4 linked regions of the Notamacropus eugenii genome follow. The protein of the gene in region 1 purifies or fractionates together with the protein of each later gene. This does not show direct contact. Links are inferred from orthologs where the notes say so. Each region holds a gene or a part of one and is shown in the gene's direction. Other genes may lie near its edges. The genes, in order: MTMR2, SBF1, SBF2 and MTMR10.

Region 1 (7,767 bases):
CTTCCTAGAGTAGAAACTCACTGAGACACAAGGTTTAAACTATAGATACTCTAACTGGTAAAGTGTCACATTCATAGGGAGTATTTTATTGAAAGCTGGTATCTTAAAGTGCAACAACAACAAAAATTGATAATGATCCAGTAAAGTGTTATCTACTTAGTAAATATTTGCTAAATGAATGATCTCTGGGGATTACTCCTGGTTACAAATTATCCTGTGGTAACTTGTTTAGAGAATGAAGGGATATCTGACAATTCAGTCTGCTCCTCCTTTCCTCTTCCCATCTTCCATTTGTTCACATACCTGAGATTGTTACCCTTTTGCTATGTTTTTGCAGTCTAAATTTGTTTTTATTGTCATAGATTACAGCTGTAAAGAACCTTAGGAGTCATCTGGGTCAGCCATCTCATTTAATAGATCAGGAAACTGAGCTTCAGAAAAGTTAAGTGACTTGCCCATGTTCACAGGCAATAAGCAGCAGAACCAGATTTTGAAATCTTGTCTTCTGGGTTCTAACTTTTTCACTCAGAACTTTTAGTGATGGGTAGCATTTAACAAACTAGTATAATGGATCTAGATTTACATAAGAAAATCTTTTGGTTTGCAGTAAGCTGTAAAGTTGACACCTTAACAATTTGGGCAAGAGAAGTCTAGATTGCAATTGTGTAGTTTGCTAATTAGATCATCTATTCTAAAGTGGCCTGGGATGTAAGATCGTAAAACCACTGAGAGAGAATAATACTCTGTGTGTGTGTGTGTGTGTGTGTGTATGCGTGTGTTTTACAAAAGAGAAAGTTTAGAAATTACTTAAAGTATGAGAAGATAAAGGTATGGTCAGTTGGCTTTCTCCCAGGAATGAGACATAGAAATCACTAAACCAAAAAGAAATTCAGTCTGAATTCAGTTTTCACCCCCAACATATTGACTCAAACGTACTCTCAGAAAATGTTGAGCTGCTTAACAATCTTATAGTCTCTTGGGAGCAGGAGACACAATACAAGAATATACCATTGGAAAGGCATTGATGAGCATTGGTTTATAATATTAAGTGTTACTTAGTTTTGTCCTGAGGGTGGACTATTGGTCTTCATTCTATATTACCTTGTCCAAGATAGGGAATAGGGTCTGAACCTGAGATTTCATTGATATGTACATGAGGAAACTCCCTCTACCTATGCAAGTCAGCAATTTCTTTGTAATTTATAGTCTCAGTTTCCTAGAACACCTAGAAATTAAGTGACTCACCCCAGGGTCTCCTGACTTTAGAACCAGTATTCTTTCCATTGTGCAGTACTAGAAAGGATCTTGTGAAACTAGATAGAATTAAAGAACATGGTGGCAATGAACCAGCAAGGAAGGGGGAGAAAAGGGGAGGATGAGGGGGAGATGGTGAGGAAGGCAGGAAAGGGAAACAAATAATAAGCTATATTCCCAAAGCTGTTATCGTAGCTGTTTGTCAAACAGTGTTCTGACTAACTGGTTCCTCCACCCATCACAGAACAGTAAAGCTTTCTTTGCCAACTAGGGAAATAGAAGTGATGTAACCAGTACTACTGAGTGGCCATCACTGGTCACCAGCAAACTGCAGGGTGGAAGAGGCAAAATCCTTTGTGTTTAAACACAAACACATTCAGTCACGAGCTGTTAAGTATATGGTGAACAGGGCTATCCTTCATTTGGCTTGTGGGTGTGTAGTTGACAGTTCAGTTAATTTCTTCTTGTCTCCTGTTGATTTTACATAGTTATGGAAATAAAAAAAAATCAGCTGCCCAATAGAAGAATAAATTTGGGTTCACAAATCGAGATGAAAAAAATTTTCCCTATCATCAAAGTACTTTTTTTTTTTACAGGTTCATTGTATAATTTGCTAATAGTCAATAACAGCTTTTTCTCACTCTCTACATTCCAAGAGATGAAACTGCAATTGTTCACTATCAATTTTAAAATGCCTCAATTGTGTCCTTCCTCTGATCTTCCTGTGTCCTCTGTTAGCAAAAAATTACTGGCAGCAGCATCCTCCCTTTGCCCAATTCTGCTCTCTTATCATCACAATCAATGTCTGGCTCTCTCTTCAACTCCACCTTCCTGTTCCACCGGGGAAATTGAAAGGATCAGGAATAGTCAACCTAAGCTTAACCTAGGCCTCACCCCCATGACATATTTAATTTTCCTCTTGCATTATTTATGTCCCTTTCTTATATTGTTTTGTGGGCAGGGAACTAAGAAAAGGGAAGAGGTCTGGTACCAGCCCTGAAGTATTAGGTACTTTCTCCCTGCAGTTTCTTTTCCATTTTTCTCCTTTTTCTATTCATTCCATACTCTATATTACCAACAATACCAAGTCCACACCAACCTTATACTCCTACCCAATCACTCCAAGTTATTGGGACTGCAGACTTTATCATATTTTCCATTGTTGCTGAGTGGTTTCAGTGTAGTACAACTTTCCAAGCTCCCATTTGGGGTTTTCTTGGCAAAGATACTGGAGTGGTCTGCCATTTCCTTCTCCAGCTTATTTTTACAGATGAGGAACTGAGGCAGAGTTAAATGAGAGTCACACAGCTGGAAAGTATTTTGAGGCCAGATATAATCTTAGGTCCTTCTGACTCCAAGACTATCACTATTTACTGTGCCACCTAGCTGTCTATATTCTCTAATACTATTTTTTTCCCAAAGTACCCAGTCTGTGTCTCTCACCCATACAATCAATATTAGCAGCTAAAAAAATCCACTGGGCATATCTGTGTATATATGTATATATATACATATATACACACATATACATACATACACACATACATATACACATATATACATACAAATACACACACAGACACATATATCCTTGAATTTGGGGCATATGAACTGATCATTCACCTCTGTCTCATTCTACTTGCCATTATTCTAATACCCTAAACTTCAACCTTCTCACCTCACCCAAAAATCTCTAATCCTCAGATCTTCGCCTTGGCTTACTTTCACAAGCCATTTTTGTCTCAGTCATTCCCATGTCACCATTTCCCTTTATTTCCATATTCCTCAAGTCACAGAACCATAGATTTAGAGCTGGAAGGGACACCATCTCACTGAGATACCTTCAACCTTGTTCTCTTTTCTTTTTTTTATTTTTTTATTATTATTATTATTATTTTTTAATGTTTAACAATCACTGCCATACAATTGAGATTTTATCCCCCCCACACCTACCCCCCACTACCCCCCTCCCTCCCCACGACTGCATACAATTCTGTATAGGTTCTACATATACTTTCCTATTGAGTACATTTTCACTATAGTCATGCTATGTAGTCAGACTAAGATAAATGAAAGAAATCGTATAACAAATCAGAACATGATACACAAACACATACACATACACAAACATGATCTGTTACATTATGTGAGTGACTACACATACACAAACATGATCTGTTACATTATGTGAGTGACTTCCATATTTCTCTCTCTGAGTGTGGAAGGCATTTTGCCTTGAGAACCACCATTGGGATTTTTTTTTTTTTTGTAAGAAGTTCTTGTGTTATTACAAAAATCTAAGTCTACCAGAAAAAACTCTCACACACTGTGGTCGTTGCTGTGCATAAAGTTCTCCTGGTTCTGCTCCTTTCACTCAGCATCAGGTCATATAAGTCCTTCCAGGCCTCTCTGAAGTCTTCTTGTTCATCATTTCTTATGGCACAACAGTACTCCATTACATTCATATACCATAATTTATTCAGCCATTCCCCAATTGATGGACATCCCCTTGACTTCCAGTTTTTGGCAACTACATAGAGTGCTGCTATAAATATTTTTGTACATGTGGGACCCTTTCCCATTTTTATGATCTCTTGGGGATACGGTCCTAGTAGTGCTATTGCTGGGTCAAAGGGGATGCACATTTTTGTAGCCCTTTGGGCATAGTTCCAAATTGCTCTCCAGAATGGTTGGATGCGCTCGCAGCTCCACCAACAATGAATTAGTGTTCCAACTCTCCCATATCCTCTCCAGCATTTATCATTTTCTTGTTCTGTCATGTTTGCCAATCTTATAGGTGTGATGTGGTACCTCAGAGTTGTTTTGATTTGCATCTCTCTAATCAAAAGTGATTTAGAGCATTTTTTCATATGATTATAGATATCTTTAATTTCTTCCTCTGAAAATTGCCTGTTCATATCCTTTGACCATTTATCAATTGGGGAATGACTTGTACTTGTTCTCTTTTCTGCACCCCACTTTTATCGCTTGTGTGTGTTCTGTTGTGTTTGACTCTCTGCAACTCCATTTGGAATTTTTTTTTTGGCAGATACCAGAGTGGTTTGCATTTCCTTCTCATGCTCAATTTACAGATAAGGAAACTGAGGCAAACAGGGTTAAGTGACTTGCCCAGGGTCACCTTGCTAGCTAGCAAGCCTCTGAGGCCAGCTTTAAATTCAGGAAGATGAATCTTCTTGACTTCAGGCCCAGCCCGCCAGCCACTGCCCTACTTTGTCCCTTACTTATCAGCATTGCCCCACTCACTTCCAACCACACCTCCCTGACCTTTTTACAACCCCAGTCATGCCTTCTCCCGTTTTCCCCTCACTCTGACTCACAGCCCCATCCTATGTCCCTCTCCCCCTCCCCCTCCCCGGTGTCACCCAGAAAGCCCCATCCCCATCTCCATCTCTAAGGTGTCTGGCCTCGCTAACCCCTCAGGAGGAGGGAGCCGGGGGCGGACCAGGGGGAGGGCGCTCCTCCAGCTCCGGGCGAGCCCCCTCCCGCAGCCCCAGCTCTCTCGCGGTGCAGTCTGGGCGAACATGGCCGCTTCCTGTCTGCGGTGGGGCTGGGAGGCTCGGGGCTGACCGCGGCTCCTCCTGTCCGCTGCCGCCGCCGCCCAGCCTAGCTCTCGAACGGCCGCGCCATGGAGAGGAGCTCCAGCTGCGAGAGTCTGGGCTCCCAGCCCGCGGCAGCGCGGCCGCCCAGCGTCGACTCTCTGTCCAGGTAAGCGGGCGAGCCCCGGCCCCGCTGAGCCCCGGCCCCGCTGAGCCCCGGCCCCGCTGAGCCGAGCCCCGGCCCCGCTGAGCCCCGGCCCCGCTGAGCCGAGCCCCGGCCCCGCTGAGCCGAGCCCCGGCCCCGCTGAGCCCCGCTGAACCCCGGTCCCCCGGAGCCCCGGCCCCGCGGAGCCCGCCTTTCTGCTCCCGCGGGCCCGGCTCCAGCCCCACCAGGGCGTCCCGGGCTCTGCCCGCCTCCCCCGTCCCGGGCTGCTTCATCCTCTCCCACCCCCTGGCAGGGACCCTCAGTTGGCATCCTGGGCACTTTACACATCTGACAAGCGATTCCGTTCCTTCTTTCCCACCCTTTTCCTCCTTTCATTCCTCCTTTCTCACTCTTTTCCTCCTTCCTTCATGCCTCCTTTCCCATCCCTTTCCTCCTTCATTTTTACTTTCCCATCTCTTTCCAATTTCCTTCGTGCCTCCTTTCCCATCCCTTTCCTCTTTCCTTCACTCTTATTTCCCATCTCTCCCTTCTCCCTCCTCGTGCTCTCTCAAGAAACTCTTTCCCCCTGCTTCTGTTAAGGGTTGTCATGGAAACGCCCTTACTCTTTTTTTTTTCTTCTAACTCCCCAGACCAAAGTTTAGGTTCTGGGATTCCTGGGCAGCCCTCACCTCTGAGGGAGTGAATGGAGAAAGGAAACCCCCTTAGAGAATGTATCAGGTAGGCCAAATGAGAGGGCATTTTTCTTACCCCCTGCTCCCATCTCTTCAGTTTTTCTGATGGCCTGAGTGCTTGATAGGATTGTTGGGGTTTTGTGTTTGTTTTTAACATTTTGGAAGTATGGAAGAAAGTCTTAGATTATTAAGTCGCAGGTTTCCCAGCAAAGTTCTTTGTGAATAATAGCGGGAAGCTTGTGGGTCATTGAAATCTCATATGTCTTGAAATAGTTTTTTTTTAAGTGGGAAAAAAAAGTAATTGAAGTGGTCCATTTGTTATATAATCCTAAAAAGGTTTGGGAACATCGAATTTGCAAATGGATTAGAAACATCATAAATTAGGATCAGATTTTTAGAGCTCAAAGCTACTCTCATTTTACTGCTGAGGAACTGAGACTCAGAGAGGTCGAGTGATTTGCCCAGAGTTAATAAGTAGCTGAGCCATGATTTGAACTGAGGTCTTCCTGATTCTAAGTCTAGTGTTCTGTCATTCTGTTTGCTAATGTAAAATAGTCCAAAGAATGAAGAAGTATCACATATTAAGCAGTTCATGCGTTTTGGTACTTAAATCTGAAATTATGCAAGAGAGTAAGAACTTAGCTTTCTTTGAATTTGATTGTTTTTTCAATATTAGTGTTAAGTATTTGTTTAAAAATAACTTTAAAAATTGCTAATGATTACTAAGAAAAAAGTTTAAAAATTATTTAGAAATACAACAGCAGATTTAGACGTTAAAACTGTATAAGCAAAATACAGATTCCAAACTGTGGTTTAGAATTGCATACAGATTATAGTTTACTTTATATAGCACTTTATAACATATTATTAGATCTTCACAATTTACTCTCTGATGCTTACTCTCTATTTGACCTTGGACAAGTCACTAAGCTTTTCTGTATCCTCAGTTTCCTCATCCACCTCATCTCAGTTTTCTGACTAGTATGGGTTATCTTTCTATTCACATCAAACTCATTTGTAGAATGAAGAGGTTGGACTAGATGCCTTTTGAGTTCCTTTCCAGATCTATATCTTTGATCCTATTCCCATCTTGTAGATATGAAAACTGATGTTCAGAGAAATTCAGAGACACATACTTCGTCACACAGCTTGTGTTAATGGCTAGATTTTAAACCTGTCTTCTGAGGTATACTTTTTTGAACAACTGCAATTAAAAACAATCTGTAGTTGAATGTCATGTGTGCATATGTGCTTACTCTTTTAAAAAAAATTATGATGCTTACCTACCTGGAAACTTGAGGTGTAAAACTTTTTCCAAAAAAAAAAAGACTCTACCTGTAGATACCCTTTGCTACTCTGGACAGTGTTTAAATGAGTAGAACTTTTGTCTGGATACAATCACATAAAATCCTAAAACTTTCAGATTTAGAAGGAACTTTGAAGGCCATCAAGGTCATCCCGTGACTGAATAAGTCCCAACAAGTGATTATCCAGCTTTGTCTGACAGCCTCTACACAGGGGGAACTCACTGCCTTCTAAGACAGACCATTCTACTTTTGTACTGCTCTAGCCAGGAAATTTTCCTTTCATGAAACTCAGATTTCCCTCATTGCAGGTTTACTCCTCGTTCTGCCTCTGTGGGCTAAACTGTTCTTCTCCATATGAAAACCCTTTAGATTACCTGTAGACAGCTATTAGGTCTCTCAAATCATTTTTTATCATACTAAACATTCTTTGCCCCTTCAGCAGTCTTCATGTGGCTTTATCTGAGGCCTTTCAATGCAGTTACTCTTCTCTGGACATTTTTCCGACCCATCAGTATTTTTACTAAAATGTGATGCCCAGAAATGAAACTGATCAGGACAAGAGCACACTGATACAATTACCTCTTTAGTTCTGAGTACTATGCTTCTCTTAATGTAGCTTAAGGTTTTTTTTAAGATTACAGTAGCTTAGGTTTGGTTTTTTTTTGACTACTGTGTCATTCCACTGACATATTTTGAACTTTCAGTCCACTAAAATACTCAGATCTGTTTTTTTGTTTGCTAAAGAACTGCTACCTATTTATGTTTCCCCCATCCTATATTTAGGGTTAAAAACAATAAGAACAACAATAAAA
Region 2 (7,825 bases), on another chromosome or scaffold:
CCTCTCATGGAGAAGGCAAGCAATTTGATATAGATTACGCATGTGAAGTCATGCAAAACATATTTCTGTATTAGTCACGTTGTAAAAAACAAAAACAAAAAAATTCTCCCAAGAAAAACACCCATAAAAAATGAAGAAAGTTAAAAATATATGCTTCAATCTACACTCAGAGCCTTTTCTACACACAGGTCTTTTTCTGGAGGTAGATAATATTTTTCATCATGAATCTTTTGGAATTGTCTTGGATCACTGTGTTTCTGAGTATAGCTAAATCATTCACAGCTGATACATGTAAAACATTGCTGTTACTGTGTACAGTGTTCTCCTGGTTCTGTTCATTTCACCTTGCATCAGTTCATGTAAGTCTTTCCAGGTTTTTCTAAAAGCATCCTGCTCATCATTTCTTATTCCATTGCAATTTTACACCACAACTTGTTCAGACATTCGCCAATTGATGTATATCCCCTAAACTTCCAATTCTTTGCCACCACAAAAGAACTGCTATAAATATTTTTGTACATACAGGCCTAGTAGTGGTATTATGAGGTCAAAGGGTATGCATGGTTTTATAGACCTTTGGGCATAATTCCAAATTGCATTCCAGAATGGTTGGATCACTTCACAACTCTACCCACAGTGCATTAGTATGCCAGTTTTCCCATATCCCCTCCAACTTTTGTCAATTTCCTTTTTTTGGATCATATTAACCAATCTAATAGGTGCGAAACGGCCCTTCAGAGTTGTTTTAATTTGCATTTCTCTAATCAGCAATGATTTTAGAGCATTTTTATGTGATTGTAGATAGCTTTGATTTCTTAATCTGAAAATTACATTATATCCTTTGACCATTTATCAATTGGGAATGACTTATATTTTTATCAATTTGACTTGGTTCTCTATATATTTGAGAAACAAGGCCTTTATTAGAAAGACTTGCTGTACAAATTTTCCCCGTTTTCTTCTTTCCTTCTAATCTTGGCTTCATTGATTTTATTTCTGCAAAATTTTTTAAATTTAATGTCATCAAAATTATCCATTTTATTGCAGCTCTTTTTGTGGTGGCTAAGAACTGAGTATCAAAGGGATGCCCCTTAATTGGGGAATGGCTGAACAAGTTATGGTGTGTGATTATGATGCTGTAAGAAATGACAAGCAGGATGAGTTCAGAAAAACCTGGAAAAACATGAACTGATGTAAAGTGAAGGAAACAGAACCAGGACAAGGTTGTACACAGTAACAGCAATATTGTACAATGAAGAACTGTGAATTACTTCACTGACGATCCCAAAGGACTAGTGATAAAACAGACTGTCTTCCTGCAGAGAAAAAACTGATACTGTTTGAATACAGACTGAAGCAGGATTTTTCACTTTCTTTCATTCTTTTTCTTTTATTTGACTCTACTTGTACAAAATGACTAACATGGAAAGGTTTTATATGATTCCCCATGTATAATCTATATCTGATTGCTTACCATCTCAGGGTAGAAGGAAGGGAGGGAGGGAGATATAAAATTTGTGGTTCAAATTTTTTTTGAATGTTAAAAAAAAGTTTTAACATGTAATTGGGGAAAAATAAAATATATTCAAATATGTTTTCTAAAATCATCCATTTTAGCTCCTGTATTTCTCTCTACCACATAGTTCCTTTGTAATATCAGAAGACTGTGAAGAAGGCTAAGTGGAAGATGAACTGGAGTAGGGAGAGATTGTGAGATCCTGCAGAAGAGAGAAGGAGGGCTATTCAAGAGAAAGATTTTACTGTTCATTTAGTCATTTCACTTGTATCTCACTCTTTATGGTGTTGGAATTTTCTTGGCAAAGATCCTGGAGTGGTTTGCTCTTTCCTTCTCCAGCTCCTTTGACAGATAAGGAAACTGAGGCAAACAGGTTTAAGTGACTTGCTCAGGGTCATACAGCTATTTAGTGTCTGGGACTGGATTTGAACTCATGGAAAGGAGTCTTCCTGATCCTAGGCTCATTGCTCTATCCACTAAACCACTTAGTTGCTACTTTTTATACAGGCAGAATTGACAGGAGTTGGCAACAAGAGATAATGGAGGTAGAAACAATAAGATTCTATATAGGAGGTAAATGTGAGGGAAAAGTTGAGGATGTCCCCTAGGTTATGAGCCTGGGTGCCTAGGAGGGTGCTGGTGCCCTCAACAGTAATAGAGAAATTCAGAAAAGAGGGGTATTTTGGGGGTAAAGATGATGAATTCTGTTTTAAACATATTGAGTATGAGGTGTCTATGGGACATCCAATTCAACATGACCAACAAATAGGCAGTTGTCAACAGTACCTGAGGGAGTTTGGGGTTGGATAAATAGATCTGAGAATCATCTGTATAGAAATAATAATAATAATAGCTAACATTTATATAGCATCTACTGTGGGCAGGGCACTGTGCAAAGTACCTCACAATTATTCTCATTAGATTCTTACAACATCCCTGGAAGACAGGCAGTAGAATTAGTTAATTTATGTTTAGTTTTCAACATTCCCTTTTATAAGATTTTGAGCTCTAAAATTTCCCTCTCCTCCTCTCTCCTCCCCAAGACAGCATGCAGTCTGATATAGCTTGTACATGTACAATCATATTAAACATAGTTCCATGTTAGTCATGTTATGAAAGAAGAATCAGAACAAAAGGGGAAAACCACAAGAAAGAAAACAAAGAAAATAGTCGGCTTTGATCTGCATTCAGACTCCATAGTTTTTCCTCTAGATGTGGCTAGATTTTTTCATCACGAATCTTTTGGAATTGTCTTAGATCATTCCATTGCTGAGAAGAGCTAAGTCTATCAAAGTTGATCACACAATGTTGTTATCACTGTGTAGTGTTCTCCTGGTTCTGCTCACTTCACTCAGTATCAGCTCATATAAGTCTTTCCAGGTTTTTCTGAAATCCACCTGCTCATCATTTCTTATAGCACAATAGCATTCCAGCACATTCATATAACACAATTTGTTCAGCCATTCCCTAATTGGTGGGCATCCCCATCAATTTTTTGCCACAACAAAAAGAGTTGTTATAGATATTTTTGTACTTTGGGTCCTTTCCCCTTTTTTATCATCTCTTTGGGATACAGCCCTGGAAGTGGTATTGCTGGATCAAAGGGTATGCACAGTTTCATAGACCTTTGGGCGTAGGTCCAAATTGCTCTCCAGAATGGTTGGATGAGTAGGTGATAGTATTATCCCTATTTTACCAGTGAGGAAACTGAGGCAAACAGAAGTTAAGTGATTTGCTCAGAGTCACATAGCTAGAAGTATCTTAGGCCAGATTGAAACTCAGGTCTTCCTGACTCCTAAATCCATGGGAGTGGATGAGATTAATAGTATCTGTCTATAAAATTCATACAGTTGGCCTAATTCAGTGGGTTCTCCTTCCACATCTCTGACAGAGTGTGGGCATTAAGCAGTCTTCGTCCACTCAATTTTTCCTGTATGGATTGCTAGGTTTCTTCTGAGAGGCCATTGATCTCACTGAGGAGTCTTTGTAGCATTTTGGGGATCCATGAAATCAAGTTACTGTGCTGCCTAGAAAGTAAGATAGGAGTTGGAAGTTACTGCTTCATGTTTAAGTCTGTGTTGGTGAGCTCTTGCTTTTAATGATTGATGCGTTTCCTTTGTGTGGGAGAAACAAACATTCAAACAATCAAAATCATTCAATTAACTATGTTGAAAATGTTTATTTCTTATTTAATGCTCAATGATTGACTTGGAAAGCTCTTTCTTCCTTCCCTTGACCTTTTGGATCTAGCCCTAGCCTCCTCCATTCTTTTGCCCTTGTTTACCCTCCCAGAGAAGGAGAGCCCTCTTCCTCCTCAGATCACCTCCCCATTCCTAATCTGGGGACTCCCAATATCTGCCCTGCCCCATCTTAGGACATAAGCACCTGGAGGGTAGGACCTGTTGCATCAGTCCGGAGACCAGCCCAGTACCTTCCCTACAGTAACTGGCTACTAAAATGAGTGAATTAGAGAGGTGGTGGGTGTTGTGGAGCTAGAGGCTCAGCCGTACTGCTACCCGGTGACCTTGGAGCGGCAGTTTCAGCAGATTTGGGGGGAAGGGGCTGTTGCCAATTCCAGGTTCGGGAGAAGCGCTGGGATCTCAGAAAAGAGGCAGGAGGCTGAGCCCGGGGAGGGACAATAGTTTGGGAGGTTTGCGGGGGGCCCGAGCCCAAGGGGTGCGGTGCTATACAAGATGGTGGGGGGCGGAACCGATGGTTGGGGAGGGTGGTGGCCTGAACTGAGGAGCGGTCCGAGCAAAGGTTGGGGAGTCTGAGGCTGGACGGGGGGAGTCCAAGGCGAGCGGGTCCTAAGACTAGGAAGATGTGGGGGTCCCGGGCCTGAGATTTGGGGTGCTGCAGGGTTCTGGGGGGGTAACAAAGGTGAGGCAGGCCACCTGAGCCAAGAGGGGTAGAGCGGGCTGCGGTGGGATGGCGGCCCAAGTCCAGGGACAGCGAGGGCCTGACACGGTGCCCTCGCCCCAGCCCGAGGACAGGCAGAGGAGGATGTGGGCGGGGTAACCTCGCACAGCAGGGGCGTGGCCGTCCTTCGTTGGCCACACCCCCACGACAGCGGCCGCCCAGGTTCTCTGGCCACGCCCCCTCAGGTCCCAGTGGCTCCCGGCCCGCTGCGGAGGAGAGCGGGGCGGGCTGCGGGCGCGCCCCCGGAGGGGCACGCCGACGCAGCCGCGGGCGCGCGCGCGCACGCCGGGAGGGAGGGACCGGGGGAAGATGGCGGCGGGAGCCGCTGGAGCCTCATCCTCCGCCGGGGCCGGGGAGCGCGGTCGGGGCCGGGGCCGGGGCCGGGGCCGAGGCCGGGGCCGAGGGGCCGGGCCCGGGCCGTGAGCGCGCAGCCGCCTCGCCCGTCCGCCCGCTGCCCGCCCGCCATGGCCCGGCTCGCCGACTACTTCGTGCTGGTGGCCTTCGGGCCCGGGCCGCGCGCCGGTGAGTTGGGGGCCGCGGGGGGGAGGGGGGCACTGAGGGGGAGGGGGCGGGGCCTTCAGTGCCCTGCCAGAGATGTCACTGCCCCCGAACCACCTACACAGGCCACCCCGCACCCCCAAACCATCTGCACAGACCACTTTGCACCCCAGAACCAGCTGCCCTCCCTCTATCAGCTGCAGAGGTCACCTGCACCCCAAAACCAGTAGCACAGGCCACTTGACTTCCCAAAATCAGCTGTCCTCCCCCTCTCAGCTGCTGAGATCACCCTGCACCCTCAAACCAGCTGCCCTATTGCACTCAGCTGCAGAGGCCACCCTGCACCCCAAAACCAGCCACACAAGCCAACTGGCACCCCAAGACCAGCTGCCCCCCACTTAGCTTCAGGTGATCTGCACCCCAAAACCAGCTGCCCTATCGCACTCAGCTGCAGAGGTTACCCTGCACCCCAAAACCAGCTGCCCTATCCCACTCAGCTGCAGAGATCACCCTGCACCCCAAGACAAGCTACCCTGCCCCCCTCAGCTGCAGAGGTTGCCCTGTACCCTAAAACCTGCTACCTTACCCCCTCAGCTGCAGATATCACTCTGCACCCCAAACCAGTTGCCCTGCCCCTGTCAGCTCCAGAGATCATCCTGTACCCCCAAACCAGCTGTCCTATCCCTCTCAACTAAAGATGTCACCCTGCACCCCTAAACCAGCTGTTCTGTCCCGTCACTTACTAGTGGCTCCTCTGTTCCCCTAGCTGTAGGTGTTACATCCCTGCACCCCCAAACTAGCAGCCAGTGGTGTTTCTGGGGTGGTCACTTGGGACCTTTGGTTCGTGCACTTGCTGGGTCAGGTACCACAAAACATTTCCTGGGGCCTGCTCTGTGCCAAGGGCTGGGGCGAAGGCTGGCATCTGGAAAGGGCCTCTACCAGTGTGGTCTATGCACAATCAGACTGTGGGTCAGGCAGCATTTGAACTCAGAGCCCTCTGTGCTCAGGCCTGGTGCCCAAGGAAGAGAAGAGGCTCTCATTCTGGAGGGGGGAGGGGCTGCATCCACACAGATAAATAAATACAAGATATGTTAACCAGTATATACTAGGTAATTCCTGGGGGTGGAGGAAGGCACTAGCAGCTGGGCCTTGAAGGGAACTTGGTAGGAAGTAGGGATGCCAGGGCCTGAGCGGGATGTTCTGGGTGGTGTCCAGCTCTGGATGGCATCCTCCAGGCAGGTGTGATTTTCGGAAGAGGAGGTACAGTTAGCCAGGGTGAGGTGGTGAGGGCCACCTGCCCCCAGGGCACTGGGAGAAGCCAGATGGACCATCCCCTACATGTCCCCTGTGTCATGGTTTTCCCTTACCAGTTGGGTAACTTTGAGGGAATGCCTTTCCTTCCCCTGGCCCCCAGTTCATGTCCCCACCTGTGGGGCAGTAATGGTTGTGCTGCTGCCTGCTAATTTCTTAGACATGGTGTGAGGATCATGGTAGGACAGGACCAGAGGACAGGGCTGGGTATGTAGACACCAGGCCTCACACACAGAAGGCCCTTGGAACATTCCCTGTTTGGCACTGATTTGTAAGGGCCGTAAGAAGTCAGAGAAGGAAGACATATGTGAGTTGGAGCATCCTGGGAAGTTTTCCCAGAGAAAGTGGGTTTTGACTTCAGTCTTGAAAAATGGATAGAAATTGGAGCTGGGGAGGAGACAGCATTAGCCAGAGCATGCAAGGAAAGCTGGGGTCCTTGGAACCCTGAGGGCTGGGGAGGAGGCCCAGGAACGCAAGGACCAAAGGTCGCTCTGACAGTATGTGTGTGGAAGAGGGCTTTCCACTTGGAAAAGAAGCTGCTTGTGACATGGGGCCATGCATGATTTGCTGCACCACTGACCTGGGAGAGGCACAGAGGAGACATGGTTTGAATCTGGGGCAGTGGGTGCCATCCCACTGGGGGCAGGTCCATGGCCAGCCTGAGGAGGGGGCTCCACGTGGAGAGTGGCCATGCCCAGGCCGGGTATCCCCCTTGGTGTGGATGCTCAGCCTTCTTCCTTAGGCTCCGCCCTGAAGGGCCCAGACCTTCCCCCTGCTTCCTACCCTATCCTAGGGGACCTACCCTAGGGAGTGAACTCAACCAAATGATCGATGCTGGATTCTCCCAGGAGGCGTGTTTTGCCAGCATAGGAGAAGGGCCAGGTTGGATGGAGGGGGTGGATACCAGAACTGTAGGAAATGCCTGCTGATTTCTGCTACCAGACCCTTGTGGACCTTGGCTGGTGGTAGTGGGAAGAGCTGCACAAAACCATCCTCACTCTGGGATTAGCAGACTCAGCCATCAAGTTAGAGGTTAGTGTGTGCCCACAAGACTGCATTCTTCATCTCTAGGGCTTAACCACTGAGGTAGCCAGCCCACGTGCACTGGTAGATAACAAAAGAAGATGAGACCCAACCATCTGCCTCCCAAGAGGCTCTTTGAGGGCAGAGACCAACCTCTTCACGGCTTTGGGTCCCTGGGGCCCTGCACGAACGAGGGTGAGGAGTAGCAGAGACTTAACCTGTTGCTTAGGCAGAAGCAGAGGCACTGGGTAGGCCTGGCTCAGGATGTCTGCCCCTGGGGCCTGGGCCATGTGAGCAGGTGCTGTGGCTTGGGCCTAGGGAGGTGGGGGTGCTTTGCACATCACTGTACCCCCCCTTCTGTTTTTCCTTGTATGGATAAGTATTGCATCCTTTGTTGTCCTGAAGTAACTCCCAGTGTGACTGAGTCCCTTTTTAGGGAGAGAGAGCTATCTTCTACCAGGAACTCCTCCCTGCTTTGAGTCTGGCACAGTTGGGGTCTCACTGGGCTGTCTGCCAGCTCCCTTCCCCTCCCCCCAAGGCCAGGGTATCCCTGGCTGC
Region 3 (7,410 bases), on another chromosome or scaffold:
TAATTCTTCCCACCCACCCCCCACTAAGAAGAGGGAAGAAAGGATCTAGGGGAGCTAAAAATAAGTATTAGCTTAAACCTGTTATTTCAAGCATTTCAAAAACAGTAGGTATGGAAAGGCCCTACCTTAAGGGCAGATTAGAACCTCCTTAGGTCTGTAACCTTTGGAATTAGAGTTACTCGAGGACATTAAGAGATGAAGTCACTTGCCCATGAATTGTGGGACCACAGTGTGTATCAGCAACATTATTTGAACCCAGATATATGTGAGAGGCAGGCTCTCTATCACTATACCAGGCTGCCACATGCATATCTAAACCTATCCATATCTATACTGACATCTGCATCTAAGCTATATCATCTCTATTCATCCATATCTCTCTCAATATGTAGGCACACATATAATCACACACACATATGTATACACATACTACCTGTGAAACTTTTAAAGGAACCCTGAATGCTTTCAGGTTAACCTTTGGCTCGAGGTCCCATTTGGTTCTCTAGATCCTCGAGTTCGCCCCTTTGACTGCCAAAGGGCCACATCTGAAGACCTAGAAGGCCATATGAGGTCTTGAGGCTGCTGGTGGGAACTATTCTCATTCTTGGAACTATCCCTTTTCTCTCTGTTCTCAGTTAGATACACAGGGAAAAAAAAAGCAATCTGGCCAGCACTTTTGCCTCTGTCTGCTGTTAAATGGAGAGTAGGTGAAGGGCTGACCAGCTGTTTATGACACTGCCTACATTTTCTCCAGGCCTCTCTGGATTATAAAAATATTCTTGGTCACTTCCTTAAACTGGTTCCCAATTAAATATCGTGAACACACCCTGCAAAGAAAATTAGGCTAAATAATTCACTGTTTGAACTATGTGTATGAAAAGCAGAGAATAGAACATTTGCTTCTTTGAAAAAGAAGCATTTGATGGCTCTTGGCTCCCCTTTTAACTTGCTCTGTGACCTGGGTAGGATTTATACTTAACTTTTAGAAGGTTGTTTGAAAGGTAGTGTATTCAAAGGGTTCCATAGAAAGCTCTGATAGACATTTAAAAACTGACAATATGGTCAAGGATAGGATAGTGGACAGAGACCAGAACAAGTCAGCACCTGCCTGCAATTTATAGTTTTAGAGTAATCTAGAACATGGAGAGTTTAAGCGACTTCCCTAAAGGCATGCCAGCAGAAGTGGCAGAAGCACTAGTTGAATCCTGTTTTTCCTGGCCTGGCTCTTCAAGGGATAAAAATGCACACACCAGAACCTCAGGGTGAAGAACAAAACAAATTCCACTTTATAGCTCCTAGTTCCAAACCCCTTCCTCAAAACCCACTGAGAAGCTCACTTCCAAAGTCTGATTCACCCCATCAGTTCAACGGCTAGGGTGGTTCTCTGAAAGTCCTGCCCAAAGCAAATGGAGATCTCAAGTCTCTTAATCCAGGCACAATTTGTCTTATTTGCCTCTGACATATAGGATTACAGAGACTTGTTCATAATTAAACTAGATAAGGAGCTACCCTGAAAGATTAAAGGAGACATTGTAGTTTTTTAGGACAAGTACAAGCATGGTCATTCTTGACACAACAGGCAGTCAACATGAACATATGAAACTCTTTACCCAAACAGGGTAAACAAAGTGCACATGGAGTTAGAGTATAGGAGTTGATCCAGTGGATGATATAGCCAAATTAGCTTATCGAAAGGAGGGAAAGCGATTGGGGTGTGCATCTCCTCCTCTTAGGATGAGGTTAGGGAGAACAGTTTCCATAAGGCCGTACAATTCCACTAAATAGGCTCTCAGGGATATCACACCGGGCTGAATGATTTATTAATTTGACCCAGTGGGACTTTTATGTGCCTGAATGTTTTCTATAAGTTCTATATAGGTGTATATGTATATAGCAGCTAGGAGGCACAGTAGATAGAGCGTCAGGCCTGAAATTAGGAAAACCTGAGTTCATACCTAGTCTCAGACAGTAGCCGTATGACCCTGGTCAAGTCACTTAACCTGTTTGTCTCAGTTTCCTCATCTGCCAAATTCGGATGATAACAGCTCCAACCTCCCAGGATGATTGTGAGGATCAGATGAGGTAATATTTGTAAAGCTTTTAGCACCTACTTCCCAGCGTTGCTGTGAAGATCCAATGGAGTATTAATTGTAAAGTATTTAGTACAGTGCCAGGCACATAGGAAGCCCCATGTAAATATTATTATTACATAAATCTGATGACTTAGAGGTGAGGCTAACCAAGGCAGGATTGCAGTGACTTTGCAATAAGCAGGTCTCAGCCCAGTACCTTGTGCAGAGTAAACCTCAGCTCACTAATTTGTTGAGTAGAGACAAACCACAGGAAGTACTTTGAATGATTTTAGAGACCTAGCCACTTTACCCACAAAAGGCAGCAGTTCTGCAGCAGCGGGAAGTTGGCAAACCTCCCTTCTTTCTTTATCTCTTTGCCATTTCCGCCCTGAGACAAGGAAGGAGATGCTTTGGATCCTGGAGACTGTTGCCTCTTTCATCCTTTGCTTGGCCCTGGAGTTTCTTCCCGAGGCTCAGGGGAAAACAAATCTACATTTGTTCAGGCAGCTAGTGAAAGGTGGTGGTGTTTTTGTTGATCTCGGGGGATTTTCTGGCCTATGGCCAACCCTGCTAATCTGGCTATGTTGTCAGACGCTTATCAACCTCAGCCTCCAGGCAGCTGTTGGCTAGGGAGCAAAGGGCAAAGCTACTTTATTTGTATGTGAAATACTTGTATGGACTAGGAATGTGCCATCTTGGATACATGGGTGTATATTATGCATATATTCCACATGTTGAAACCAGATTCTGGAAACTGACATAGAGGGCTTGTCAGAGGATCTTAACTGGGGGAGAGTTGCTTTTTTGATACTTTTGAATTCATAAGCACAGGAGTCAGAAATAATTAAGTTACATGATACATTCTTAACAGTGTCTTTTACAAAGCAGTTAAGTCTTAGGAGAGACTTAGCAAGGACATCACGGAATGTTAAGATTTGGAACACACCAGAGGTCTAGTCCAATCCACATATTAAATAAAAAACCGTCCACAGCATACACACTCAGCCAGTAAGTGGCTATGTAGCTTCTGCTTGGAGAGCTCTACTCCAAGGGAACCCGCTCTGTCCTAAGGCGGTCGTTCCGCTTCTGGACAGCTTTAATTGTCGGGAAACTTCATCCGACAAGCTTCTGCCCTGTACTTCTAATTCGGAGGATATCCCTTTCTTCCAATATTTCTTATGTGGAGAACGAAGCAGACACGCTCTGCAAGCATCGAGTGACCGAAGCAGAAGCTGGGGTGGAAGTTCCTGGGACGGAGGCGGGGTGGTGGCGGAGTCCAGCTCCCTGCGTGGAATGAGGGAGAACCGAGAGAGCCGTCCTAGAACCAGAACCGCAGCGCAGCGTGGATGAGCAGCTCCGCGCTCGCAGGGGACTCTTGCGTGCAGGGCAAGTCCGCTTCAAGTCCCTTCCAAGTCCGAGAGGAAGGCTTTAAGGAAAGGCTTTCACCGACTCAGGAATAACTCAGATCAAGTCGTACCCTGCCCTCGGCCAGGCGCGGCCGGACCACTGCAGTGACATCCCAAAGGCTGCCGGCCGTGGACAAGGGGAAGGGCGAAGTCCGGGACCTCAGACTGTCCGGCCCCGGCCTCTTGTCCTGGGGCGCTGGGATCTCATGGGAGTGCCCAAGACATTAACGTGGCCCGAGAGCAGAGGCCACGGACGGGTGACCGAGCGTTCAGGGCAGGGCGAGCTGTCCGTCCGGGGTGGCCTGCATTCGCCCCCCCCCCCCCCGAAGCAGGAGGGCACCCTGGTGCTGTCCCGCGCCCTGGCACGGCCGGGGGGCTACGGCAGCCCGCGGGGCCTTCCTGGCAGCCCGCTGCGAGATCTCGGAAAACGGGACCGCGCCGCGTAAACAGGAAACCAGCGGCAAAAGCCCCGGCGGGGCGGATTCCAGGGCACTGGCCGCGGAGTTTTCGGTAGCCGCCCCCCAGCCCGCTAGGGTCCCCGCTCCACAAATGGGCCGAGGGAAGGAGAGGCCTGTGCGAACCCCAGCTGCTCCCAGCCCGGGCGCGGGAGGGGGAGGAGCGAGGCGGGCGCGGGAGGGGGAGGAGCGAGGCGGGCGCGGGAGGGGGAGGGGGAGGGGGAGGGGGAGGAGCGCCGACGGCGGGGGGAGGGGTGGGGCGGCCCGGGCCGAGGCTGCGTAGCTCCAGGGAAGCTCTGGGAAGCCGAGGGGAGGGAGGAGCCGGGAGGAGGAGCGAGTCTCGCGCGGCGCGGCGCCCGGCGCAGGCGCAGAGCGCACCTCGGTTGTCAAACATGGCTGAAGTGCCGCCGCTGCCGCCGCTGCTGCTACCGCCGGTAGAGGGAAAATGCTGAGCGCTCCCGGGCCGAGCGGGCGGCGGCGGCGGCGAGGGCGGCGACGGGGACTGGGTCCCGCTTCCCGGGCGCGGGGACGGCGGCGGCGATGGCGCGGCTGGCGGACTACTTCATCGTGGTGGGCTATGACCACGAGAAGACAGGTAAGGGCGTGGGGCCGGCGCGGGGCGGGCGGGCACCGCCCCCGGCCCCTCCCTCCTCGCCTCCTCCCCTCGGCCGCCGCCCCCGCCCCCGCCCCCGCCCCGGGCCCAACGGCCCCGCAGGCCCGGGCCGGGCCGGGGGCTCCCCGTCGCCGCCCCGCGTCGGGCCCTTCCCAAACGGGCCGGGGCGCAGGACGGGCCGACTGGGCCCGGGGCTGCGCTGACCAGCGAGGGAGAGGAGGGCCCAGCCTGCCCCGCCCTGCCGGGAGGGATGGAAGGAAGGATGGAAAACGGGGCTTAGGCCAGGCCGGGTCCCAGCCCCGAACGAGGCTGGGGCGGGGGGCGGGGCGGTGCTTCCCTGCTCCTGCGAGGGGACTGGGAGACAGTGGAGGGAGGGGGGCGGGCCCGGAGGGAGAGTCCCGAGGGAGGGAGAATAGACGGGACTGGACGGGCGGCCTTGGCCCCTGGGAGTTCGGACGGGTCCTTGGCGCAGCCTCCTCTCCCGCCCTGGGGGCCCGTGTAACCGCTTGTGGGGACCGCGGGATGGGGTGTTGCCCAGCCCGGCTAGGGAGCTTCCCTGGGCACGGCCCTGTCCGCTTCTTTCAGGACGAGGGTAAGAGGTTTCCCAGGTGAAACAACTGAATGTTACTAAGTAACTAAATGTTACTTTAAAACGTTTTCTTTGTTCTCCTCATTTGGGAAAATACCAGACTTTTTGGTTCTTGGTAAGAATACTTTCCTAAACATGGAGCCCAGTGATTTTTAAAAATTCGTTTTTCTCATGTTTATACAATTGAGGAATTTTGTGGCAGTTCTCTCGTCCATCTTTGTTCATTTATGTCCATGAAAGCATAGCATAAAAAGTATAAGTACCATAAAAGTATAGCAGTAGCAAGTGGAACACCGAAAGCTCTTCTACTTTAGCATGATAAGTATTAGAAAAGAAGCTTAAAGATCATCTGCTTCCCTCTTCCCTCCTTTTACAGATGAAGAAACCAAGCCGAAAAGAGTTTGGCCACCCTCCTTAGGTTAGAAGGGATATCTCAGCGTGTACTTTTCCCATTGAGTTGTTGCCCCTTAGTGTAGTTTCCTTGTGGGAGCTTTCCCATGACTTCCTTGGCTTTATGGCTAGGGAGTTGGATTTGGAAGCTGGAAGACCTGAGTCCAAACCTCCCTTGTGTACTTTACCACCTGTGTGACCCAGGTCAAGTCATTTAATGTCTCTCTCTTTTTTTTTACATTTATAAAATGAGGATAATAGTAACACATACCTCACAAGGTTGTGAGGACCGTACCATGCACCAAGCACTTTGCAGACCTTCAATGGGCCCTAGAAATGTTAGTTATTATTAACAGCAATAGTAATCTTTCATCACTCCTTGTTATCCTGACCTTTTATAAGAATGTTCCCTCTTCTTTAAAAAGAAGGGCCAACCTAGTTTGCACCTGGGGAGAAGGGGAAGGAAAAAAGCATTTATGAAGCAACTACTGTGTGCCAGGCACTGTCAGCTTGATACAGTTTGAGTATGAAAGTTCTTCAGTGATAATAAAGTGGTATTAATTTCTTTTAGCCACATTGTGTTCTCTTTCAACAACTTTAATTCAAGTTCATATTAGTTGAATAGTATGGAATCTTGACATCGAACGAAATACTCCCCCCATTGTTGATTAATTAGTTGTCTGTATTTGACATTACTTTTCCAATAATACTTTCAATTTCAGTAATGTTATTTTAGAAGGATTAAAAATACACTTTCTTGCGATGAAAATACAGTCCTGTTTGTTAAATTATTAGGAAATTATGGATCTTTTAATGAATAAACTTTAATTTTAAAGACGTCCCCCTTCCCCAAGACTTTATTGCCTAAATTGTTTATAATTGCTAACCACAATTTAAAGGCTTCTTTTAATGATTATGGCAAGAGACTCTGATACATAAAGATTTTTTTTGTCATTGATGACTTAGATTTTCCTAGAATTGTCAACTATACTCTAAACTACAAATCCACTGTATTCTTATCTATAAAGTTACTTTGTAATTAAATATACTTCCCTTTTAATTAACTTTTCAAAATATTGGAACTTGAGTAAGATGTATCCCTCTCTCTTTAAATGAAACTCAGGTTTCCCCTTTTAAGGTTCAAGTAGGCCCTTTTAAACTTCTTTGGTACCTTAGAGAGAATCAAGTATAGCAGTACTTTATGCAGATTGGCTGTGTTTCTTTTGTGGCAGTTAAAAGTCCTCCTCCCCTGGAAGAAAAGGGGAATCAGGATCTCTCCTAAATGGCAGATGTTGTTTCATTGTTGAATAGTTTTATCAATTAGAATACACTGTTAGTATGAATTTTATGTCATGTAATTTAAGGGTTATATATACTATCTCTTTTGTTTCTCATGAGTTTCTTGAGTGTAAAAACCACTATAGTTTTTATTAAAGTTTTGCATTGTACTTTTGACAATATTTTGAATTTTGATTGCTTTAAAATATTTGTCCTACTCTACTAATGGATTTATTCAATTTCATATAAAGAAATTGGTATCTTATATAGAGAGAAAGCATCAAAATTGACCTTCATGACTTTGAATCAGCCTTGATTTTTTGTTCTCTAAAAATGTTTATCAAGTATTTGAAAGCTAAGAAATGAATTTATGTCATTTTTAATGATAAGCTATGTTTTTAGGAAGATATATAGTTCCTGAATGTTCATTTACACCAGTACATTATATTTACTCAAATTTTTTTTTTTGGTTGTCCAATCATTTTTATTGTAAGAGTAATTTTTTTCATAGTTTCTTTGAATTTCATCCAAAGCAAATGGTGCCTGGCTTAGTTTATTAGTGACCTATTGCTCATTAAAGAGAATTTGTAGGATTTTAGGTTTTAGA
Region 4 (7,596 bases), on another chromosome or scaffold:
GAAGGACAAACACACACATATCTGCTACACTGGCAAACTAGATATTTGTAGCATTTTTAAAAATAGCCTGTACTTTTTAATTTAGCATATTATATGTAGTGTTTCTCTTTCAAAATCTTTATAATTGTCTTAAATCAGCGATTTGTTTGTCCAGTTTATTTCACTGAGAAAAGGTAAATTCAAAATTATCAGAAATGAAGAAAGTAGAACTGTTAAAAATCTTAACAAATTGTATATATGAGACCCTTTGAAATATAAAAATAATGGAAACTAGAAAGCCTTTGTAATGAATAAACTATCTTAAATGAATGAGAACTCAATTCCTAAAATAAGGAAAAGATATTTATATTTGAGATCATAAACTCTTATACATTGTAATCTAGCTAGGTATACCTCTCCATAAAGAGGTTTTATAATTTGGACTTTGGGTAAAGTATCTTCATTTTTCTTTGCCTCATTAAAGGGGTCACCTCTTGGCTACTTCTTAAACAGGCCTATTCAATGAATGGGCATTACCTCACCCTAAATGAGTACCTGAACAGACCTTGGCTTAAAGGGGCCAAGGTCTCCCAGTTCATCCTGGGTCATCTCCAGTCATCCTGATGAATATCTGGTCACTGGATTCAGATGGCTCTGGAGGAGAAGTGAGGCTGGTGACCTGCAAAGCCCTCCCTCACTCAAAACAAAGTCAAGTGCAAGTCATGTCATCATTTCTCTGATGGCATGGTCTTCTTTGTCAACGAAGGATGAACACAACAATAGGATAGCTTTAATGTATTTCAACTAATTTTGTGATTAAATAAATTTTGCTGCTCTTCACATAAAAAACATTTTTATAGTATACTTCAACACTACATAAATCACAGATCCCATCAATGTGGTTACTCCCTGGAAGAGTGCCGATTAAGATACATTTTGTTATATATCATTGCAAAGGAACCTTGTTCAACAAAACTGGATTTTTTTTTTAAATTCTAAAAGGTCTGGCTGCTAATCTCAGAGATCACTTACTTAACAGTTAGTTAAAGCATATGAAGATAGTGTATATAACTGATGGGAGTTGGCAGCTGCCAGTCACAGAGGAAATTGGTCAAGTCCTTATAACCAGTTCCCCATGAAGCAACCAGATGCCTAGATCAACCAACCATAAATAGCCATTCACTCTTCTCTAGAAAAATATTTATGCCAGGCAAGGAAAGAATGATGACTTCATTTATATTCCTAACTGCAGAGTTAGAAATGAAAACTCTAATGTAATTTGTATTGCACATTTAAATTCAACGAATTGGTAGGGATATACACAAGTTTAATTCCTTAAGTAGCTTGTCAGAGCTAATATGACTTATTAAGAACCCAATTTTACAATCTGGGAACACATCAGAAACCCTTCCACTTATGTTGTAACCATTGCATCTACTCTGATCTGATCAGTCTAAAGCAGGGGTTCTTAACCCATAGTCCGTGAATTTGTTTTGAAAATATTTTGCTAACTGTATCTCAATATAATTATTTTCATCTGTAATCCTATGTATTTAATTTTATGCACAGAAAAACATAAATTCAGGAAGGGGTCCATAGACTTCATCAGATTACCAAAGGGGTGCATGACACAAAAAATGTTATGAAGCCCACCAAGTAAACAATACGTAGGAGTATTTACATAGGTATTCCTTACTTACAAAAAAAAATCTCACCTTCAAAGATTAGTTTATTACATTATATCTTTCCAAGATGCATCAAAATTCTAGCACAATGCTTTCTGTTCAGGTTATTTGCTTATTGTTTATTGAACTGAATTAGCTACAATGCTTAAGTACACTTTGTAAGGTTACAGGAAATAATACTAACTTTGAGTTCATTTTATAGTCTTTATTAATTCATAATTTAGTGTCTCACACTGCCTTTCCTTCCTATTTTCATTCTATTTCTCAGTTCCTACCTTTGGACATTGTTGGCAATGACTTGTATTTGCAATTAGGTCCAGTTTCTAAGAGTTATTGGAGTATTCTTCTTTACAAACTTAGCATGCTCATAATATAACACAAATTTAAAACATCAATATAAGATTCACAACCAAGGTTAGTGGAAACGCTGTACACTTCTATAATAAAAACCATACTTTCCCACCACCTCCTCAAGTGCCTCATTATACTCTAGTTATCTTTTCCCCTAGGCCTCTCAAGAATTTTTACTGAGAAAACATTTGGCAGACATCTGGATAGGTTACCAGTTCCAGAACTAGTCTGGACTGCAACCTGGGTGAGAGGTCAAATGCAGATAGAGATTTGGGAATCATCAGTACGAAAGTGCTAGCTAAATCCATGAGAAAAACGGTTTGAGAGACAGAAAAAGCAGACATCCAAAGTCTGACTTTTGGGGGATGCACATATTTAGGAGGAAAAAGAAAAAGGAGTAGCAAAGGAAATGGGCAATAAGATGAGAATCTGAACCAAAGTATCATGGAATTCAACCATCGTTTACTTATTAAGCACCTCTAAAGTACATCTTGTTATGCAAGAGGCAGCTTGGCATAAGGAATAGAGGGTGCAGGGTCAGGACGACCTTGGTTCCAGGCCTACCCTTGCCACACACTGACTGTGAGCTTGAGCAGGAAACTTTAAAAAAGGAGGGCATTCCAGGCATTTTATTCCAGACAATTTAATTCAAAAATTGGGAAATGTAGGATTGCAAAGACAAATAAATACCCGTGCTCTCAAGTAGCTTACAATCTCCTGGAAGCTGGGAAAGGGAGCTTTCAGACCCACAGACTGGTCAGGGAGAACGAGAACTAACACCAAACAAGTCAGATTTATTGGACTGGACAGTGTCTCACATAATGTAGATAAAGCCCTGGACAATTCAGCGTTTCACTTTTGTGTCCCACAGAGCTATAACCCCCAAAAGATCCAAAGCCTGCAAGAGTGAAAGCACATTTCCTTTGGCATACTGGCAGAATATCTACTTAGATGTGTGGGGGAAATGCCACCGGGTTTTAAATGCTGCAGGCCCTGGTGCCACGCTGACTGACCTTACCTAGGCCGTCCTGGGACAGAACCCCTGGAAGAAGTCCTGCGGAGCCCCACGCTGGGCGACCCTGGACAAGCCACCTCACCCTACCTGCCTCAGTTTCTCTGATCGAGGCAGCCCGTCTTCAAAGGGCTTCGTCACAGCTTCAGCAGAACGAGATCAACGCTTTCATAAAGCGGAGGTCTGATTCAAGCTACGTCGGTTCTAGAGAAAGAGGAGCTCTGGGGCTGCGGGCGCTTCTCAGCGTCGCTGCTGCCGACTGTTTGTGGGCTTGGGGATGCCAACCCAGAGCGCACTGTAACACCGTGCAGGGGGACTGTTACTGAGACACAAAGGTCTTCGGAAGACCCTGCCACAGAACCCCAAGGCTCCGGTCATTTGTTAGCATAAACCACACAATTCCGTGGCCGGGAAGCACTTCGGAGGCTCCCCGTCTAACCCTGTTTGCGAGAGAACAGTGAAGACCCGAGCCCGTCCCGTGCAGAGCCTAGGCGCACAGTAAAGCTCCTCCTGCGGGCAAAGCGCACCCCCCCAGGCGCGGCCTGGCCCCGGGCTCCCCCGTGCCCGCGGAGGGCGCTCCCCAAAGCGCACCCCCCAGGCGCGGCCTGGCCCCGGGCTCCCCCGTGCCCGCGGAGGGCGCTCCCCAAAGCGGACCCCCCAGATGCGGCCTGGCCCCGGGCTCCCCCGTGCCCGCGGAGGGCGCTCCCCAAAGAGGACCCCCCAGGCGCGGCCTGGCCCCGGGCTCCCCCGCCCCTGCCTCGCCGGTCCGGTTCAGGGGTCTCTCCACGAGATCACTAATGGCCAGGTTGCGGGGTTCCCCGTGACTTCCCTGAGGGCTTTCTCCCCGGCCCTCGGCGCCTACACCCCTCGGGGCGCAATAAACGCTTCGTTCATTTACAAACGCTTGCTGACCGGGTGAGCAACCAAGGGTCCGAAGGACTGTGTCCTTCAACCCGGGAAGGCCAGTTAGGGGTCGGGGGCGGCGAGGAGGAGCCCTCCGGGGTACCAGCCCTCCGGGGCACTTTCTGGGGCGGCTGTGGCCCCACCAGGGGATCCGGGGCTTCGGATCCTCTCTGGAAATAACGAATCCCTTAAGTCTGATGACTAACAGGCAAACGCGGAGGCCGGCGGGGACGGCGGCCGGAGGGGACGGAGGCCGGCGGGGACGGAGGCCCGCGGCGCTCCCTCCCGGGCAGCTGGGGCCGTTTGGCCCCTGTGTGCCGCCGTAGCGGCCCGCTCGGCTCTCGTCGCCCAACATGGCCGCCGTCCTCCGCGCCCCCAGGGGGTGCCCGGCCGCCCCGCGTAGGACCTTTCGCGGCGGGGCAGATGCCTGCTCCGAGCGGCGGTGCGCGCGCACGCGGGCGCTTCCCCCCCCACCCCCCCGACACCTCCACCTTCACCTCCGCTCCCTAGGCCTCCCGCGGGGTGGGGCGGGGGCGGGGGCGGGGGCGGGGGCGGAGGCGGGGAGGTCCCTTCCGGGGGCTGGGAACTCGAGGGGCCGCGTCACGCCGGGCTCGGCCCCCGCGGCTCCTCCTCCCCGCTCCGGGCGCTCCAGTCTCCGCCCGCCCAGTGGGGGGTGGGTGGGGGGGGTGGCCGCAGACCCAGACGGCCTGGGCGACTCCTCCGGGAAACTCCGTGGCCGTGGCTGGGGAAGGAAGGCGGCCCTGCCTGCGCCGCTGCCCCCCGCCCCTCGCCGGGGTGGGTGAGCCCCGCCGCCCCTGCTGAGGAAAGGTGGGAAGGAAGGAAGCAGCCGTGGGGGGCACCATGTTCTCCAAGCCGCCCCGACCCACCTTCAGGTCCTACCTCCTGCCGCCGGCGTCGCCGCCTCAGGTAAACAGCCTCCCCTCCCCCCGCCGCCGACCGGATCCTCGTGGGGCCATGACGGAGGGGGGGCGTAGAGGGGCCGAGGAGGGGGCGCCCCTCCCCCCACCTCCGAGTGTTGGGCTCGCGTGGGGCTGGGGGGCGGGGAGAGGGTCGGGACTTCTCCTTCCACTCCGGTGGTTGGGGCTTCGCGTCTCCCAGGTGGGGAGGAAGCAGCCCACGAGAACCGTACCCCACCGGTCCCGTGCCCCACTCGCGGAGCCGCCCCACGAGCAGGCTCCCCACTCAGGTTCGAGTCTCCAACCCCTAAACCACCGAGGGAGCCCGGATCGGCACCAGTCTCTCCCCGTACCCCCCAGGCCGGTCCCGGGGAAACTTTTAAAACTCCTCTGGCCCTGGAAGCAGCTCCTGGCCCGAGTCCGCGGCGCCGCTCCCCCGTTCGCTCCGAGCCGCGGGGCGCCCCCTGGCGGGGCCCTCCCGATGCCCTGCTGCTGCCGCTGGAGGGCCAAGGTGGTGCAGCAGAGGGTAAATAGTAACCCCAACCCTGGGCCGTGTGTAGGGGGGGTCCCCGTCCGATGCCGCACCCTCGTTAACGTTGTGGGGGGGTGGAAGCTGAGGGAGCCCCCCGAGCGAGCGGCAGCGGTGTGGACCGCCGGTCCCAGCAGCGCCCGAGCCGAGCGGGCTGGGGACGCGCTCTGGGTCACGCGTGTCTGAGGCTTCCCCGGTGCGTTTCAGGATGAAGACCAGCGGAGCCCCGAGCCCAGGATCAGGAAGCTGGAGGCCGCGCTTCTGCCAGGTGAGCACGGGCGCGCCGCCCCCGGGCCTCGTCAGTGTGCCGGCCGGGCAGCCGCGGGGGAGGGCGGGCTGGCCACCCAGGTAAGGGCGCGGGCTCCGGACCGGCCCAAGCCGTGGCTACACCCGGGAATGCCCGCGGAGGAGAGTTTAACGATCGCTGTGGGAGGACGTCGGTGGCGCTTGTGTCTGTCCGAGCTTTCCGGCGCGGGGGTCGGCGCCGTGGGCCGCGTCTCCTCCGCGGGAGGGGCCCGCCGGGGCGCTGGGGCGTGCTGGCTTGGGCTGGCACAGGTGGTGAGGGGGTCCGGGGCTTCTGGCTCGCTTCGCAGTGAGCTTGCCCCTGGGATCGTTGGGTTCTCCATGAAGTGTGGAGAGAAGGACCTGGGGCTGTCCAGTAGACGTGCGGGGAGAATAGCCACATCTCCGGGACGCTGGGGGGGCTGATGTGACGGAGATGCGGGGTATCGTGTGCGGGGTTTGGGGCTACGTGACAGTGATTGTACACGGTTCATTTCAGCAGACATTAAGCACCGACTGTATGCAGGGCACTCTACTAAATCTGAAGTATTTCTGCTGAAACGTACAAGAGTGGTAGAGTTCATTGAATGAGTACGTGGACTGTAAATTTTGTTTTAAAATAAGATATAGTATATAAAAACACATTAGCCAATACCAGTTCTCAAGTGTTGTGTTAACTGCTTACAAAAATGAAACTTGAATACGTAGCTACAAATATTTCTTTTTTGGTCGTGTTTTTCTTTTTTTTCAGAATAAACTTGTTAAGAAAACTGTGATACACATGCATGCTCTAATTAACACATTCGTAGCCACTTTGGAGACTTTTTGTATATTGTTTTTAAATATGAAGCAGTGCTACTTTTAAATGTGTGCCTATTAGCTATTTAAAATTTAGATTCTGTCCAAACAAGTTAAAGGTTCCAAATTTCTATTCTTATAGATAATTTTCATGATTTGTCAAATCATTAATAGGGATTACACATTTACTTATTTTCTTAAAATGCTTTTCATTTAAGCTATGATAACCAGAACCTTTTTTCCCTCAATATAAAGAATAGTAAATACTGACAAAAAATTTGAATTATTCATTGAGTGGCCATTGCCTCGTCTTAAAAAATAATATAAATTATTTTTAACATCAAAAATATTCCAGTCATTCTGTTTACCTTACAAATAATTAGATTTTTACACTTAAAAGATTAAAAATTTAATATATATTTTTGCTTTAACTTTCTGAAAAATACTTCATTTACCATAGTTATTCAGCAAACACTTAGCGACTGTCTACTATGTTCAAGGCAGTTTAGATTATACAGAGATGAATAAAAAACCAAGATTCGTGCCCAAGGCAAGTCTCTTTATGTTTTTCATTTTTCCCTCTTGGCTCTCCACCCTCAATTTTCATCAATAAGACTTCAGGGCCACCTAAAGAGCAAGACTGTTAGACTTTTTCTAGAATATATTGAACAATATGCTACTGTTAGAAACTGACCCTGGCTTTTCATGAATCCAGAAACCAAGAAAAAACTCAGTCATGTCACCTGTGACTTCAGATAAGTTTGTAAACAAAAAGTAATTGTCAAAAGATAAGAATCATAATATTTAGTGTTAAAAGGCATCAAGTGCCTACTATCATAGTACTATGCTGGGTGCTGGAGTTTAAATTAGATCAGATGAAAACAATTCTCTTTTAGAAGGTTATCTCCAAAGTGGAAATGGATACGCAGATAAGTACAGAGTATCTGGACATTATATTCAAAGGAATTTCCTTGGAGGCGGGGGAGCATTCAAGCTGAAAGGATAAAGAAAGGCTTTATACAAAGGGGACAGTTGAGCTGAACTGTGGATGGAACTAGGGATAGGAGGTGAATTTTCATTTTACAGGTGAGAAAACCAGTGCTCAGGAAGGTGAAGTCATACAGCTATGAAATGATACTG

The links.
Region 2: the proteins of MTMR2 (region 1) and SBF1 purify together in Homo sapiens (affinity purification with mass spectrometry; 6 studies listed by BioGRID and IntAct, with this or other methods). This does not show direct contact. The link is inferred for Notamacropus eugenii from reciprocal best matches to the Homo sapiens genes MTMR2 and SBF1.
Region 3: the proteins of MTMR2 (region 1) and SBF2 purify together in Homo sapiens (affinity purification with mass spectrometry; 3 studies listed by BioGRID and IntAct, with this or other methods). This does not show direct contact. The link is inferred for Notamacropus eugenii from reciprocal best matches to the Homo sapiens genes MTMR2 and SBF2.
Region 4: the proteins of MTMR2 (region 1) and MTMR10 purify together in Homo sapiens (affinity purification with mass spectrometry; 5 studies listed by BioGRID and IntAct, with this or other methods). This does not show direct contact. The link is inferred for Notamacropus eugenii from reciprocal best matches to the Homo sapiens genes MTMR2 and MTMR10.

Annotation. Positions count from the first base shown.
Region 1 is NC_092876.1:162,162,392-162,170,158, forward strand, and holds the start of MTMR2 (phosphatidylinositol-3,5-bisphosphate 3-phosphatase MTMR2), read left to right. Parts: upstream 1-4,759; 5' UTR 4,760-4,900; coding exon 4,901-4,980; intron 4,981-5,606; exon of another isoform or gene 5,607-5,659; coding exon of another isoform or gene 5,660-5,694; intron 5,695-7,767. UniProt on the Homo sapiens protein: Lipid phosphatase that specifically dephosphorylates the D-3 position of phosphatidylinositol 3-phosphate and phosphatidylinositol 3,5-bisphosphate, generating phosphatidylinositol and phosphatidylinositol 5-phosphate.
Region 2 is NC_092874.1:303,833,692-303,841,516, forward strand, and holds the start of SBF1 (myotubularin-related protein 5), read left to right. Parts: upstream 1-4,811; 5' UTR 4,812-4,899; coding exon 4,900-4,957; intron 4,958-7,825. UniProt on the Homo sapiens protein: Acts as an adapter for the phosphatase MTMR2 to regulate MTMR2 catalytic activity and subcellular location. Promotes the exchange of GDP to GTP, converting inactive GDP-bound Rab proteins into their active GTP-bound form.
Region 3 is NC_092877.1:35,162,778-35,170,187, forward strand, and holds the start of SBF2 (myotubularin-related protein 13), read left to right. Parts: upstream 1-4,401; 5' UTR 4,402-4,473; coding exon 4,474-4,528; intron 4,529-7,410. UniProt on the Homo sapiens protein: Guanine nucleotide exchange factor (GEF) which activates RAB21 and possibly RAB28. Promotes the exchange of GDP to GTP, converting inactive GDP-bound Rab proteins into their active GTP-bound form.
Region 4 is NC_092872.1:150,817,553-150,825,148, forward strand, and holds the start of MTMR10 (myotubularin-related protein 10), read left to right. Parts: upstream 1-4,595; 5' UTR 4,596-4,791; coding exon 4,792-4,857; intron 4,858-5,583; coding exon 5,584-5,644; intron 5,645-7,596.